Linked DNA regions of Kluyveromyces lactis. The protein of the gene in region 4 interacts with the protein of the main gene of each other region in a pairwise test. Links are inferred from orthologs where the notes say so. Each region holds a gene or a part of one and is shown on either strand. Other genes may lie near its edges.

What was found.
Region 1: the proteins of SPB1 (region 4) and FPR3 interact in binary tests that used the Saccharomyces cerevisiae proteins (3 or more experiments, as listed by UniProt). The link is inferred for Kluyveromyces lactis from reciprocal best matches to the Saccharomyces cerevisiae genes SPB1 and FPR3.
Region 2: the proteins of SPB1 (region 4) and RPF1 interact in binary tests that used the Saccharomyces cerevisiae proteins (3 or more experiments, as listed by UniProt). The link is inferred for Kluyveromyces lactis from reciprocal best matches to the Saccharomyces cerevisiae genes SPB1 and RPF1.
Region 3: the proteins of SPB1 (region 4) and RRP14 interact in binary tests that used the Saccharomyces cerevisiae proteins (3 or more experiments, as listed by UniProt). The link is inferred for Kluyveromyces lactis from reciprocal best matches to the Saccharomyces cerevisiae genes SPB1 and RRP14.
Region 5: the proteins of SPB1 (region 4) and NOP53 interact in binary tests that used the Saccharomyces cerevisiae proteins (3 or more experiments, as listed by UniProt). The link is inferred for Kluyveromyces lactis from reciprocal best matches to the Saccharomyces cerevisiae genes SPB1 and NOP53.

What each region holds. Positions count from the first base shown.
Region 1 is NC_006038.1:421,068-424,040, forward strand, and holds FPR3 (peptidylprolyl isomerase FPR3), read right to left. Parts: upstream 1,764-2,973; coding exon 507-1,763; downstream 1-506. Other genes in the region: RPL6A (60S ribosomal protein eL6), read right to left, coding at 2,339-2,857. UniProt on the Saccharomyces cerevisiae protein: Proline isomerase that belongs to an abundant class of enzymes that catalyze the cis-trans isomerization of X-Pro peptide bonds and can accelerate the refolding of proline-containing polypeptides. Specifically binds nuclear localization sequences.
Region 2 is NC_006042.1:2,012,234-2,014,817, forward strand, and holds RPF1 (rRNA-binding ribosome biosynthesis protein RPF1), read right to left. Parts: upstream 1,383-2,584; coding exon 504-1,382; downstream 1-503. Other genes in the region: KLLA0_F21692g (pleiotropic drug resistance family ABC transporter), read right to left, coding at 1,919-2,584. UniProt on the Saccharomyces cerevisiae protein: Essential protein. Required for biogenesis of the 60S ribosomal subunit.
Region 3 is NC_006042.1:2,415,748-2,418,822, forward strand, and holds RRP14 (ribosome biosynthesis protein RRP14), read right to left. Parts: upstream 1,862-3,075; coding exon 518-1,861; downstream 1-517. Other genes in the region: SOV1 (Sov1p), read right to left, coding at 1-128; TEF4 (translation elongation factor EF1B gamma), read left to right, coding at 2,497-2,875. UniProt on the Saccharomyces cerevisiae protein: Involved in ribosome biogenesis and cell polarity. Required for the synthesis of both 40S and 60S ribosomal subunits and may also play some direct role in correct positioning of the mitotic spindle during mitosis.
Region 4 is NC_006039.1:51,857-55,988, reverse strand, and holds SPB1 (27S pre-rRNA (guanosine2922-2'-O)-methyltransferase), read right to left. Parts: upstream 2,802-4,132; coding exon 300-2,801; downstream 1-299. Other genes in the region: PBN1 (Pbn1p), read left to right, coding at 1-211; KLLA0_C00715g (uncharacterized protein), read left to right, coding at 3,802-4,132. UniProt on the Saccharomyces cerevisiae protein: Required for proper assembly of pre-ribosomal particles during the biogenesis of the 60S ribosomal subunit. Specifically methylates the guanosine in position 2922 of the 25S rRNA at the stage of 27S pre-rRNA maturation.
Region 5 is NC_006042.1:1,055,260-1,058,433, forward strand, and holds NOP53 (Nop53p), read right to left. Parts: upstream 1,845-3,174; coding exon 510-1,844; downstream 1-509. Other genes in the region: ATP-binding cassette long-chain fatty acid transporter PXA1, read left to right, coding at 1-269; HPR1 (Hpr1p), read right to left, coding at 2,268-3,174. UniProt on the Saccharomyces cerevisiae protein: Late-acting factor in the nuclear maturation of 60S ribosomal subunits, which is required for normal acquisition of export competence. Required for the export of the large subunit.

The DNA.
Region 1 (2,973 bases), on a different chromosome or scaffold from region 4:
GTTAGAGATTAACTATGTGCACAATTGGAGCGGGTTTTTTGTTCCCTTCCTTTATTGTTTTTGTTTGCTGTTTTAATCTTCAGCGGCTAGCTCACAAAAATTTCCTGTTTCAGAATAGAATTATTACAAATTGCACGCAAAACGGTAGTTATAGTCTCTTTCAATTAACCTTCAGTTCACTAATCGCCTTAACAGGTTGCAGTCAATAAGGATGTAAATCAGAATGTCCGTAAATTATTGTTGTTTGACCAACTTCTGGTGTCTTCGTCCTTTCCTTCTCCTTAAAATGTGGTTTGTTTTAGGGCTAGTTTAGTTTCAAGTTCGTTGAGATTTTATAAAAAATGAGAAGTAAGCCTATCTAAGATATCAAAACCAAGAAATTTGTGAGTGAGAGCATTTTCTCCATTGGGAACGTCAACTGTCACCTTTCAGAATGTTATTTTTTTGATTTAAAGTAAGTATTTATGAAGGAGTAATATGTATGCCGATTATATATCCTTTTCCATTTATTTCAAAGAGACCAACTTAACGTCGAAAGTCAATTCGGAGTTAGCTGGAATACCTGGAAGAGCTTGTTTACCGTACGCATATGGAGCAGGGATGACGATTCTACGTTCACCACCGACGGCCATACCGGCAACACCGATATCCCAACCTTTGATGACTTCACCACGGCCCAAGTTGAAAACGAATGGTTTACCGCTGGTGTTCTTGTCAAAGACCTTACCATTCTTTAGCTTACCAATGTATCTCATACCGACCTTGGAGCCCTTCTTGCAAGCCTTACCCTTACCAGTGACACGGTCTTCGATGATGATACCACCTTCAAGCACCTTGGTCTTTGGCTTTTCTTTCTTTTCTTCCTTCTTTTCTTCTTTCTTGGTTGGTCCTTCTTCTAGGTCTTTCTTGAATTCAACCTTCTTTTCTTTCTTAGCCTTCTTGTTCTTTTTAGTTTCTTCAACTAGCTTTTGTTCCTCTTCCTCTTCCTCTTCCTCTTCCTCTTCCTCTTCTGGTTCTGGTTGCTTTCTCTTGTTGTTCTTCTTAGACTTAGATTGTTCTTTTTCGACAAGCTCTTGGATCTTAGCTTCAACGTCGCTAGCATCTTCTAACTCTTCCAGATCAGCTTCTTCATCCGGGGTTAGATAGTCGTCTTCATCTTCATCGTAGCTTTCATCGTCTTCTTCATCGTCATCTTCGTCATCGTAACCTGGTGCATCGAATGGGTGCTTGACATAGTTACCGGTTAGAGAAACACGGTAAGAACCAGTAACAATGAATTGAACTTCTTCTTCTGGAGCAATTACAATATCCAAAGATTGTTGATATTGAGTCTTTGGTGACAAAGTCGCTAGGACGAATTCTTGGAATTCGTCATCGGTGTCAATTTCGATAAGTTCTTCATCGCCTTCATCTTCATCTTCCTCTTCCTCTTCCTCTTCCTCTTCTTGCTTCTTGGACTTACCCTTACCCTTACCCTTCTTAGACTTTGACTTTTCCTCCTCTTCTTCTTCCTCTTCGGAAATGTCTAATTCATCTTCGTCGTAATCACCCAACAAACCACCAGCATCATCTTCATCGTCGTAGTCTGGGTTTCTCTTGATAATTCTCAAAGTAGATGGGTTCTTCTCATCATCCAAAGCTTCTGGATCGATAGCAGCCATGGTGATACGCACGGTAACAGGCGTGGTAACATCAATGGCCGGGGTTGGAGTGTATGGCTCGATGTTCAAATTGTAAGCAGCTAAAGGTAATAGGTCAGACATTGTTATGCTATTCAGTTAGAATGAGAGTTTTCTTAATCTGTGGGTATATGTCTACAAAAAAATATACGAACTAAACCTCTATGAAAAAGGTTCTTCCACTCAAGAAGACTCTACCTAATGTAATTCATCTCATCTCATCTCTCTTATATGGCGTCCATCTCTTATTTCTTTCACAACCTTAACTATTCCAAATTCTGAAAATTTTCCAAAAGAAACGAACTTTATGTAGAGAAGATTCGACGTTTCTTTTCTGCACGTGATGAGTTTTATCGACCTCCGCTTAGGGTACAAGACATATTGAAATACATCGTTCGAAAGGGTCGTCAGACAGGGTACACACGTTGGTTATAGTGTTAACTGGTGTGTCTGCAAAACAGTCATGAATATATAGCAGAGACTCTTAGGCAAAAGTAGTTCAAACCAATTGTTACAATCAATTGTCCTTATAGAATAAGGTTGTGGGGATGACGACGTTGCAAACACTAGAAAGGGATTTAATACACCCTTAAGATATAAAAGTTATGTTAATATTATATAACAAAGTAGCTTAAAGTTTTGAATTGTTTTTCGCTTTCTTAGAATTTCAACAAGTGAGGTCTGTCACCGTTCTTCAAAGAGAAAGTAGCAGCCAAGTATTGCTTCAACAATGGGGTCTTCTTGATTTCAGCCAACAAAGCCTTATCGATGTTCTTTTGGTCTTCGATTCTTTCAGCCTTGATTTCCTTCTTTGGTTGGTCTTCGTTGAAGAAGTTGGCTTCAGCTCTTTGCTTTCTTGACAACTTTTCTCTGGAGAAGTAAGCGACGTTGAACTTTTCAGTGTTAACACCTTCCAAGGAGACTCTGGTAGAGGTAGCAATGACGTAACGAGCGTTGACTCTTCTCAATGGAACACCGTTAACCTTGAATGGACCGGAAACCAACAAGGTGTTGTCTTCCAAGTGCTTCAAGTAGACAACTCTCTTACCTCTGAAACGACCAGCCAACAAAATCAAGACGGTACCTGGGACCAAGGAGGCACGCAACTTTTGTGGTCTAGCGGCCTTTCTGGTTTGCTTTGGAGCTGGGACTTCTTCAGCTGGATACCACTTTTGAGCCTGTATTGAAAATTGAATTGAAAAATTCGTTGTTAGTAAAACTGAAAACAATATTTTATCGAGTTATGCCCGTGTATAGAGAAGGAAACCCACAGTTTCAATTCCATTATCTCACA
Region 2 (2,584 bases), on a different chromosome or scaffold from region 4:
AACGTTAAGATGCTGAAAACAAAAGAGAGGTAATAGCAACAGTGTACAAAAAAAAGAGTAAAGTGGCTTAGTGTTTTTACTGTCAGTGTTTACTTTCCCAGTGATCGATCGTGTTAATAATTCCTTTCCAATAAAACAACAATAACAAACAGCCTGAAAAAATACTTTTTCTTAGATTGCAATCGATCAAATATAATGACCAAGAATATGACAATCCTAAAGAGCAATTAGTGTACCACCTCTTCAGATCAACAGAGTAACCGTTTGTTTCAATTAATCTTTTCAACAGTGGGCTTGTACTCATTTAAGCCCAAAACATTCCAAATCCTTTAAAGGTTTCAATGCCCTGTTTTCTTTAAAGCCAAGGAATTTCTCATTTTGCCACCACTTTTCGTCAGCCTCGTGAGTAGTGATGATAATACCGTCAAATCTTTGATAAATCTCCAAGTGCAGGACTAGTACACAGGTGGCTTTGAATTTGTATATAAATATATGCAAATATATCATAGATTGAACTTCTTCTTTTCTTTGTCCATTGAAGGTTTGTGTTCCCATTCTGTTTCCTCTTTGATACCTCTTTGTAGTCTTTTGAGTTTCATAGTAAATTGGGGCCCAAGTTCTTGAAGACCTACTTTCTCTTCGTTCCTGAAAACGTAACGGTGTCTGCGGAAGAAGATGTAATCTCTTTGATTATGCAGCGTTATCACTTGTCTACCTTCGAAATCAGGGTTCTTAGGGAAAATAGATTGGAATAGTTTACCCACAGTTTTACCAAGTCTGGTGTTGAAATTGTTCAAGATTAACTCTGGAATATGGCTAGTTGGTCTACCATGGCCCACGATCTTTTCGACTTCGACGAAAGAACTTATTTTGAAATAAAAGGTTGGCCCCTCTGGAAGATGAATAAATGTAAGCCCCGTTACTTTCTTCTTATCTTCATTTATTATCACGATATCTGTATAGTTCCTGTTATTACAGAATTCAGAGATTTCCTTCAGCTTGTATCCAAATTTCCTCTTCACGAAAGTCACATTAGGGAAAACTTCGATCAGGATATTAGCGAACTCATATGCCTTCTTTTTGGCGTTTACATTAGTTGTTAATAGAATCTTTGGTGGTTCGGTACCGTTGAAAAATTTCATAAAATCATCCATTTCACCTTCGACTTCTTGACCCATCGTTTCATCGTAAACTCTGAGGTTATCAATTGTGTCAGGAACATTTTCAGCAAGTCTTTTTTCCTTCAATTCCGGATTCTCACGTTCTTCCTTGGCTCTGGTCCTCCTCATAGAATGACGCTCCTTATTGTGCTGATCCTTCAACTCAGCAAAGAGTTTTTGCCTCTTCTGCTTGTTTTTTATTCTGAGTTCATCCACTGCCATTTTGAAATTATAGTATCGTCCGATTTGCTGTTATGCACCCTCGCTATTTGACCTAGAATAAGCTACATAACTAGCTATGTTCCACTATATTCAACTTCTATCTTGTTAGCCTCATCTCATCTCATCTCATCTCATCTGATCAATACAAAAACTTTCAAAATTTTGGAAAGCTAATTTTCGATAAAAAGAAAAGAGTTCACATTCGTCGCTGCAATCATTGTAGGAAGGGTGAGCTGACGAATATCCCATCAAAGGATCTTGATTACCTCAACGACCATCCACAACAGAGATCCATGCTAAAATTGAATAATTTTCGTACTTGCAATCGAGTTATATTGGGACTTTATATGCAATCGAAGTTTCTTTTTTTGGTTTCCATAGTAATATATGGGGAAACCAGATATCAATTCAGGTCTATATATACAGAATAAACAAAATATTAAAGCAGAACGCAAGCCCACGATAAGAAATGAAGTTTAATAGTTAAAAAAAAACAGAAGTAAACGACGTAAAAATTGGCCAAAAAGCAAAAATCCTTAAACTTGTTCATTGGATTGAGGTTCAACCTTTTCCTTTTGAACATTTTCAATTTTCTTGCCATGATCTGGGTCTCTCTCATCAGCCACTCTGTTCTTCTTCTTTGGAACTCTAGCCAACCAGTATAGGAAAACACAACCGCACCAGTTGAACACAATGAAGACTATGAAAATACCGAAATTTCTCCATCTTCTATGGTACGAAGATTGGAAACTTGTCAAAAATGCGTTTGTTTCAGAAATCTTACAGAAATTACAATCTTCCGTAGCATTTGAATCTAGTAGATAACCACCATTCTTGTCAATATAGTCCGCCATGTACTCACCACAGGTTTCTCCACTCCTTGGATTAAAGCTGACGTATTCATAGTTTGCGCATGTTACAGGGTTGTTTGCAAGACCAGTTGAGAGTACACCATCAATAAAGTAAGTTAGCGGTGAAATACGGTACATGAAAATCCAGAACCCTGGCAAAACACCAGAACCACCAAACACACCACAGAAATTCAAGGACATAGTGAACATTAATGATGCCATATTACCTGCAGCCTCAGCATACTGAAGACCTGCAATACACAATTGACCCATTGAACTGATAAATACGTAGAAGGAAACAGAGAATAACCAGAATAACACACCTCTTTCGTTTAATTGACCGGCATATGA
Region 3 (3,075 bases), on a different chromosome or scaffold from region 4:
ATTGCATTATCAGCATTTTTCTTTATAGTGGAGATAGTATTTGATAAACTTTTGGTTCGTATATATCGAAGTTGTCTTGGTGTAACGAGTAAACTTAATCGACTTCGACAGGTTATCACATTCAGCATTATGCAATATAGAATCTTTCTCTTCTGCAACGTTGCCTTGTTTCGCTGGAGTGAACCTCTTCAACCTCATCTCATCGAGATACCTTATTTCATCTATACTATTGCGTCTGAACCATTTTCATGATTTTTCGAACGCAGTTTAAAATGAATGAAAAGAAATAACCGCACATTGGCTTCTGAAATCCATTATTAAAGACTACATGGTAATAGAGATTTTATGCATTATTACATTCTGGGTTTGATTATATTTATTTTTATATATCATTGGGTGTCAGTATATAAAAATAGAGATGCAAAAGTAAAAGTAAAAGGTTAATCTATAACTTGAAAGGATGAAATATGATATTATGCTTTTATTTGTTGGATGGAGAATATTAGTTGATTAAGGCTCATTTCTTCTTGACACTTTTCATACGTCCTTCAAATCCTGCTCTTTTCTTCAAATGGGCAGTTCCCTTGAATTTTCTCTTCATCTTCTGTTGTTTGCTCTTCTTCTTACCTTTATTGTCCTTTCTAATCTGTAGATTTTCCTCTCTTCTCTTCTGTCTTTCGGCAACAGTGTTTTCTACCACTTGTTTACGTTCACGCCATTCGACGGTCGACTTACGCTTCTTAGCCTCTTTACGCTTCAAAGCTTTGCGAAGTAGTTTCTCATCATCTTTAAGCCTGATACCTTCTGCTTGCAACATGGCTTTTTGCCATTTTTCCTTCTCTTTCAGTTTAATTTGATCCAATTCATCTCTTGATTCTAATGATTGTTTCTTTGTCTCTAGCAGTCTTAAATGAGCTTTAACGTCCTTTTTGGCAGGTCCCTTTTTTCTTTCACCCTTTCTTACATGCGATAAATCAGATGTAGCCTTTGTACCGTCATTGAATTGAATACTTTGGAACATAACATCTTTGGCTGAAATCTCTTCATCACCATTGCGACGATGTTTCTTGGAAACGTGAGCATCTTCTGCATCCGAGTCCGAATCAGAATCTGCGCTATCATCAGAAGACACATCACCAGCTTTTTCAGAATCTAACTTGGTGGCCCTTGCCTCTTGTCTACGTTTTCTTTGAGCAAGAATAGCTTCTCTTGAACTTGGCGCACCTTCCACCTTGGTTCCTGGGGCTTTTCTTTTCTCCTTTAAAGCTTTGATTTTCTCCTGTAGTTTACAGCGTAATTCTTCCATCTTCTTCTTCTTCTGAGAAGAGTCATCTTTGGTACGTTCGATGGCCTCCTGTTTTTTCTGTATACGCTCTTTCTCTTGCTTCTGTTTGTTCTGATCTACTGGGTTTCCATCATCATCAAAGATCACCGCTATACTCTCAGATTCGCCCAAAGTTTGAGAAATGTTTATTTCCGGTACTTCGTCAGATTCTTGTTCCTCGGTTTGCTCCTCCTCGTCCTCTTCTTCGTCCTCTTCGTCTTCATCATCTTCGGACGATGTTTCAGACTCTGCGTCTAGTAGTTCACGTTGGATCTTCTTTTGGCCTGGTAAAACCACAGCTTTCGCCTGAGCTTGTTTCTTCTTCATAACTTCGAGGGCAGAGCTGGATTCATCGTCCTGCTGCTCAGGATCCAATTTCGATTTCTTATCCTCCTTCAATTGCCCTTTGCTCTTCTTCTTGGCATTCCATTGTTCCTGTGTCTTGTCATCGTAGTAATATTTCGCAGGTATCAACGAAAGTAGCCCTTCAAAGGCGCTAGAATTCGATTTCAACCGTTCTTCAAGAGAATTGCTCATGTCAGGGTGGATTGGTACAACTGAGCTGTGTAAATAATATCCTTCTTACTAAACGAATCTTAGTACTGATAAGTACATTGCTGTAAGAACAAGTTAAGTCTCTGTACCTGTCCGGTGCGATGAGCTGAAAATTTTCTATATACGGTTTTGAGAATATCACGTATGGTGAATCTTTGAGGTTTCTTTTCTACAGGGAAAATTACAAAAAAAAAAGAATACACTTTAAATAAGTCACGTGACCTTAGTCAAAACGAGCGGAAGATGACTTCTGTATATACAATGTACAGAAGTACTGTACAGTAACAGACTTCAACCATTTTATTGTTGCCACATGTACACCATCATTCTTCTAGCCATTTGACAATGCCCTCATAGCCAATGATACTTGCCCCCAATCATTACCCACGGCTCATCTCTCGAAGCCAAAAATTGAAAATCCAAAACAAATTTCTTTTTGTTCCAGCCGCTACGTGAAAAGAAGAAGCTCTAAAGGCCTTTCAATTACTTACTTGATCACTACAGTTAAAATAGCCCGTATAAGGAAAAATGACTATTCAAAATTTTTATGTTTTTCCAAGTTTTTTTTTTTCTTCAGTTTTTTTTTTCAAAACTTCTCACATTTACTTTGTATAAATATGTTATGGGTACGATTAATAGTAAATTTTTTCCATTCTTGTTACTTCGATTCAGAACACAATTATTTGTTTGTGCAGTGTGTGTTCAAGTTTGATTTTCAATATTCAGTTCAGGTCATAAGGACGTCCATACAGAAGCATCTTTTTGTTGGATATCATTTCATAATGGCTCAAAGCACTTTATTTGTTCTGCCTCCTTCCCCAAGAAGTATCTTGGCTAAAGCTTTGGCTAAGTACTTCAAGGTAGACGTCAACGTTGTTGATGTTACTGCTGCTGAAAATAAGGAATTCACCAGCAACTTCCCATTGCATAAGACACCAGCTTTCATTGGCGAAGACGGTTTCAAGTTGCACGAATTAATTGCTATTGCTTATTACAGTATGTGTGAGATTTTTTCACATTTTATTTCAATTGAATATATTGAGGTTTTCCCCGTCCCTTCTGTTCTACTCAATTGAAGCCTTGGATGAATTTAATTTTTTATCTTCTGATAATGATGAGAACCTTTCAATTATACAGTTATCCCTGTCTGAATGGGTAAAAAGTTTAATAAAACATGGTAACACTCACGTGTCGAA
Region 4 (4,132 bases):
CATTGAACTTACGAAACGGTCACCCTTCTATACTGGAAAAATCGGATATGAACACTTTTTCACTGACAACACCAAATTTTACTATCTAAATTCTACTAAAATGACAATTAACCTTCCGAAACTAGACTCATCTGATAACTTATGTATTCAGCTGTTTACCTTGGGATTGGTGCTCTTTTCTGTTTTGTATTTGATCAGAAAACTTTTTTGAAGTAGGTTGATCTTATTCAATATTCTATCTACGACTAAATATAATGTACAATTCCATTTCACGGATTAAGTGATATGATTAGCATTCCTTATTTTTTGTGATGCTTTTTAGCGATACGTTTCAAAGCCCTTTGTTCGTTCTTTAAAACACCGTCAACCATCTTATATTTACCCTTAACACCCTTAGGCCTGCCGGAAAGACCTCTATTCTTACCACTTGCAACCACAACTGTGACCTTCGGTTTTTGCTTTGCTTTCTTGGTAACCTTTCTCATCAATTTTGCAATTTCTTCAGCCTTGTCCTTTTCAGATTTATCGCTGTCATCATTAATTAGACCAGCCTTCTTCTTCAACTTTTCTAAACGAGCAACAGCACGGTGCTTCTTCCTGGCTTTAGCTTCAGCAACTTTTTTGATGGGTCTGGCATTTAGAGCCTTCAGTTTATCCTTTATTGCCATGGCTGCTTCTTTGGTGATAGGCTTATTAATTTTGGAATGTTGTTTTTCTTCTTCAACGAACCATTCGGGCAGGTTTTCCATATCACGGAAAGAATATCTATTGAAACCCTCTTCGATTAAATCATGTTTCGTTTTGTGACCTAATGCCAATTGATGAGCTAGAGTCATAGCTTCAACGGTCGCAATATCAATGTCTTTGGAATGTTTCTCTTGTTTTGTCCTCTTTGCCTCTTCTTCGGAATCATACTCAGAGTCTACATCGCCATCTTCGTTGTTTGCGACGATTTCGAAATCACTATCTTCGTCGGAAGATTCGGCTTCAGAAATCTGCTCTGCAGGAAGTGGATTCAATTTTCTTTTCTTTGTTAGTTGTTTGACATCACCCACAGACTCTGAATCCGCAAGATCCGCCTTACCAGGTAAATCTGGTTCAACTCCCTCGAATAAAGAATCGGAAAATAGCGCGCGAGCTTTAGAACTTAACTTGCTGCTGTTTTCTCTACTTTTCAATTTTGCTATCAACTGATTGATAGCTTCATCATCGTCAGAGTCTGAAAGATCCGAGTTGTCATCGTCGTCAACATAATCCTTAGTTTCTTCTTCGTTCTCTTCATCACTTTGTTTGTCCTCGAATCCATTCCAGTTGTCCGCTTCACTGGATTCACGGGCTTGCTTAGCTCTAAACTTTGCATCTCTTTCTGACTTGCGTTCCTTATAGTTACTGTACATGGCATCAAGTTGGGATTCTAGTTCATCAGCCTCAGCGAGCTCATCACGATCATCCAGAGGCGCATTTTCATCAATGTGGATATCGTTATCTATGGCTAATTCATTTTGATCAAATATCATTCTTCTCTTACCCTTGGCAAGTTTATCAAGGATACCCGTTTTTTCTGCAGTTTTCAAATTGAAAATTGATTCTCTACCTAACTCTGCAGCTTCGATACCAATGTCTACTGGATTGATCATATTTAATTGCATACGAACAATTTCCTTCTGTTTCATTTCGTTCTTCTTTCTCTTCTCACGCTTAACAGACAACCTTTGTTTCTCCTGTAGAGTATTTAGTTCTTTTTCAATCTGCTCTTCTTCTGTCAAAGGTGTTTCCTCAATCTCTGGTTTTTCTTCCTCTTCATCCAAGCCTAAAAGTTCTCTAGCTGCTTTTCTCCATTTTAGGATCATCTTGAAATCTTTTCTACCAAGAACCTTTAAATCTTCGATACATGCCAAGAATTCTTTGGTGGTTTGCTTTAATTTCTTCACAATTTTCCAGTCATGATCTTCTTCGTCTACGATGAATTTATTATATTCTCCAAGCATAGTTATTGGGTCTTCTGATTTCATAAAGTCCATAAGACCAGTTTCATGGTATAACAAATAATCACCTTCCTCGTAACCACCTCTTTTTCTGACCTTTTTTTCTGGATTAAAAACCTTGGCTTCCATGTTTTGTGGACCATCTGGTAATTCTTCAAAGACTTCCTTTGGGTCTAATAGCCTTGGATCCAACTTCTTAGGGGCCTTGAAATTTTTGCAGACAACGAAAATTTCCGCAGAAACATTTCTGGAAGCAGGAGGTTTGGTTGCCTCCACCTTTTCGAAGAGCTGTTGAAATACCCAAATTAGCTTGTTGTAATCTTTGGATCTGAAGATCTTCGTTACAAATGTACCACCAACTACTAAATTTTCAACGGCTAATTTTAAGGCTTGCAGTGTTAAATGAGACTGTGTGAAGGCATCTTGAGCCCAACTCAAACCAACATTTGGAGCACCATCGTGTAAAACGGTGTCGGCTTTCCACGTCTTCATGTACCCTCTTAATTTCGATCTACAATCTTCCGTTGTGATATCACTTTGGAAAGTAATAACGTTTGGCATAGTTTTCATCGGAACAATATCGACACCAATAATCAAGGAGTTAACAGGACACAAGTTGGAAGCCACTTGACACCAGGAACCTGGTGCAGCACATAAATCGATAACGACCTTCGACTTCTCCAAAAAATGTCCATACTTTTCATTGATTTGAATGATTTTGAAGGAAGAACGAGCTCTGTAGCCCTTTTCCTTAGCAAGGTAATAGTACTTATCTAAACGACCTTTGGAATTCTTCTTTTGCGTCTTCTTACCCATCTTGGTCTTCTCGGTAATGTATGGTGACCTATTCACTCAAGTCTAAAAGAGAACAGGATATCAGAAAGCAAATAAACAACAGTTGTAACCTGTTCAACGTTCAACTAATCTCTTCTCATCTCATCTCATCTCATCTCATCGCTAGACCAATTTCTCAAATAAAAAATTGTCACTCTTCTCACAAATAATGAAAAATTATCTGAAAAAGAAATAATTTTGGATGCGGTGTTCGGGTTAAGAATGCTCGCGGTACCAGGTATGGAAACACCGGACACTGTACTGGAGGAACTGCCAGCTTTGATGCTATGCACGGTTTCCACTGTTAAAATAACGAGCAGTAAAAAATCTGTTTGGACGTGTTATCATGGATATTGATATTACTGTAACAACACAAGACTTATATAGAGGGCCCTTAGCGTTCCACAGTTTTAAATAAGGAATATGATTTCGGTTTTTTTTCAACCATTAGCACTGCCAACGTTTACAAATAATTATGCAACGCTCTCAGGCTATAAGGGTACCGATGCTTATAATATTTCTGCAAGATTATAGGTATGGGTAGTTACTACTATTGCTACTGCTGATCATACCATAGGCTAAATAAATTTATGACCGCCTCTCGAAATAGAGATGCATTCTATGGCCCTCTCGGTCCATTGGCAGTAACTGCAATCTTATATCCAATTATCACACAACATAATGGTTCCCGCTTATACGTAGGTGTATATATAGCCTAATTCATCCGGGTTCAGTATCACTATATTTGGCCAGAATATCTGCGTATTGTACATTCCAGCCAGTAGAACGATACACGTTACAGACAGAGAAAAAAGGAAGAAGAAAAGCATTCCAAAATAAAACTGCAAAAATCAAAAATCCTTTCAAGTACTTACTTACTTGATTAATTTATGGTTGTATGAGATACTTGTACATAAAGTATTGTTTAATTCAATTGCGCAAGATATCAATCTAGTATCCACTGCGTTGAATACACGGGAAGATGAGTAAGTATTCATTTGAAACGATTCAGTTTAAGGAGACTCCTCCGGCGGAAACTCCTGAACCAGTGAATTCCAAATATGGCGTGAAAACGACAGCATCACCAGCTATTAAGAACGCTCCATTGCCTGCAGAGGGACCTTCTTCCAGACACTTTTCCAATTGGTTATTATTCTCCTTGCTCGGTGGTATTCCTTACTATGTAACAAGGAAAGTTGGGGGAGGTCTCAAAACCTTCTTGTTCTTTGCCGTACTGTTTGCTATCCCAATTTTAATGGCCTTTTGGACAATTGCATCCACTTACTCTCCTCGTTTGAATGAGAAATGCAAAT
Region 5 (3,174 bases), on a different chromosome or scaffold from region 4:
GTGTTGATATGGAAGATCATCTTTTTACCATGTTGAAGAGATACAGATTCAACTTCATATCCATCTCTCAACGCCCGTCTTTGATAAAATACCATGACTACCTATTGGAATTGACTAACGGAACTGATTGGAGCCTACAGGCATTAGGGTCAGACGAAGCTATTTTATCAATCGAAAATGAGATTGAAACCCTAAACCAAAAGCTAACAAAGGTAAAAGAATGGGAAAGGCAGAGAGATGAACTACAGGCAAAGTTGACATTGGTGTGAAAAATTGGTTTGAAAATTTAAATCTGCCAAGTCAAATGAACTATTCTTGGTGTGTAGTTCAATCAGTAGTAAAAGTGTCGGATATTGTATTCATTACTATTATATAATATAATCACAGAGTTAATGAATCTATTAATATTTTGCTCTATATAAATTATGCAAGAAAAGCACAGGTACGTCTGTGTATTTTATTGTACAAATGGTACGGAATGATGTATAGAAAGAAAAGAGCAAATTAATCTATTTGAAGTCCTTGTAAGTCCATTTCTCAGTGACTCTTGGTTTATATCTTCTACCTTTTCTAATAGGGATACGAGATTCTACCCTACCAGAACTTTGTAATGCTCTCACAGTGTCATATAGCAGATTACCTTCTGGTCTTAATTTTCTTAATGAATCTGATAGTTCATCTGAGAATTTCACCTCTAAATTGTCTTCCATGACGGAATGTTTAGTACCAAGCTTATGCTTCTTGTTCTTTTTAACTTTTCCGGCTGTAGAGACCGGATTTGGGACGGTGGATTCCACTTCCTGCTGAATTTCCTCTAATTTTTCAAGTTTGAGAACCTTTTCCTTCAATTTCTTTAATTCTTGCTGAAGTTTGACTTTTTCTTCGTGTCTTCTTTGTTTATTTCTCTGATATTTCGTTTTCTTTTTATTCTTAGTTGCTGGATTCAGAGACAACTTAGTCTCTTCTCCCTCTTCTGAAAGGTCTTTATCATCAAGTTCTGATTCATTTTCTTCTTCTGAATCGGAGTCCTCTTCCTCCTTATCTTCAATAGTATCCATCAAGTGTTGAATTCGTTGTTTATATTGTTCTAAAGCTATCCTGCGCTGTTCATTTATCAGCTCACCCTCATATTCAGTACTTATAAGAGCCTCCCATTCTTCTTTGCTTGGATTATATGACTTTCCTGCATGTGGAATGACATCTCTTTCTTTGACAATTTCTGGCACGCGAGCAATGGAATCCGGCTTAACAGTTGCGACGGACCAACTAGTTGTAGACTGTTTTAAGAATCCATTTGGAAGTTTCTCTACTTCTTCTGGTGCTATCTTAAGCTTCAGTCCAGATGGTACTTTAACCTCCTTACCAGCATCTTCGCCCCATAAATCAAGGGATCCTGACTTCACAAGACCTTCTTTTGCAACTCTTGCTTTCAACTTACTTTCACCAATTTTTTTACCAGCTAAAGCAAGTAATCTGTCCAGTTCTTTCTTTGATACCCCTTGGATCTTATCATGTTTCTTGTTAGCAGTCTTTGGGTTGGTTAGAGCAGGCACTTTGGATTTAGACTTGATAGACTCCAAAATCTCGGTTGACTTCAGAGTTTTCTTGATTGCTTTCCTCTTCACTAATTTCTGCTTTAAAACTTGGTCACCCTCAGTATCAACCGCAAAAAGCGCATCATCGCTAAGTTCTGTCAAATTCTGCTTACCATGAGTAGTCTCAAGGATCTGCTTCTCTTCGAGCTTGCGTTCCACATCGCTTATATCAATATTCTTTCTCCATGCCTTCTTACCTTTACGAGAAGATTGTTTGTACTGAGCTGGTCTGTCCTTAGATCCCGCCATAACTAACTATTTTGTCTGTTTGTTTGAGGTGGATTGTCCTGAATAGTATGGTAAGGATTAGTAAAACGATACGCCAGTCCCCGAGTATTAATTGTGTACTTGAATTCATCTCATCGCATCGCATCTCATCTCTTTTTTTTTTTTTCATCTTATTGGCATCGGATTGTCTAAATGAAAAATTGACATAAAAAAAAAGAAATATGATTATTCTCCGGGTAACATTCACTTTCGAAGCAAAGTAAAGGATATCGATTCATAATAGACAAGGAGATAGCTGTCGAATGTCAATTAGGAGAGGAATAGTCTAGAATCGTGTGATATTGATAAGTAACATCTGTAATTGATAAAATAAATGATTCTTCAATCGAATTATATGCTATATATTTGAACGGATGTCTGAAAAAATATTACTGTATTGTTAGCCTACTCCGTGTGGGAGCTTCCTTCATGTTCTTTCGGCACCTCTACTTCTGTTTCTGTACTTTCTATTGTTTTAAGCTCTGTTGGTTCAGATTCAAGCGCTTTTTCCTTTTGAGCCTCAGCGTCAGCATCTGGTTCTTCAACTTCTTCCTCAAGTTTTTGTTTCTTCGAAACAGCTTGTTCTTCTTCATTCCCGTCAGCCTCTGGACTATCGTGTCTTCTCTTTAGTGAATCATTATCTTGATCATCAGGCGAAGTTGTTTTATCATTTTTTCCATTTTCCAGAGTTTCTCTTTGACTTTTTATCTTCGCTTGAAGTAGATCTTTCCTTTCTTGTTCCTTGTCTTTGAAAAACTGTTCAGCCTCGGCGACTTGTTCGGAATGTTTCTTCTTTTTTGACTCTATTCTTTCGGCTAGCCGTCTTTTCTTAGATTCGATATCATTCCTAATGAGTTCTTCATTGGCGAACCCCGCCAGAGTAGTTTTTTCGCTGACCTTATTAAACTCAAACAAGTATTTCGGCCTCAAAGATCTTAGATTCTGCCATTGTTTTACTATGACATTATCAGTAGTGGTTTCATCACCATCAGTTTTTTCAGTTTTATCCTTGTATTCGGATATTATAGTGTCATATAGTTCTGAGGGATCTTGTCTATTGTTTTCTGAATACTTTCTCGCTAAATCTAAGCCTGATTGCACTTTCCATAGACCGTCTAATTTCTTATTGCCGAGTTTAATCCATCCGAATTTCTTGAATGCATTATTAGCTGTTGGTACGGTAATCAAATCAGAGGACCAATGAATGTCTTTCAAATTTGAGAAATCACCGACTTTTTGATTGAGTGCATCCAATTCATTCTGAGCTAGATGATTCAACAATTCATAAAATTGACGATCCCTAATTTCATAA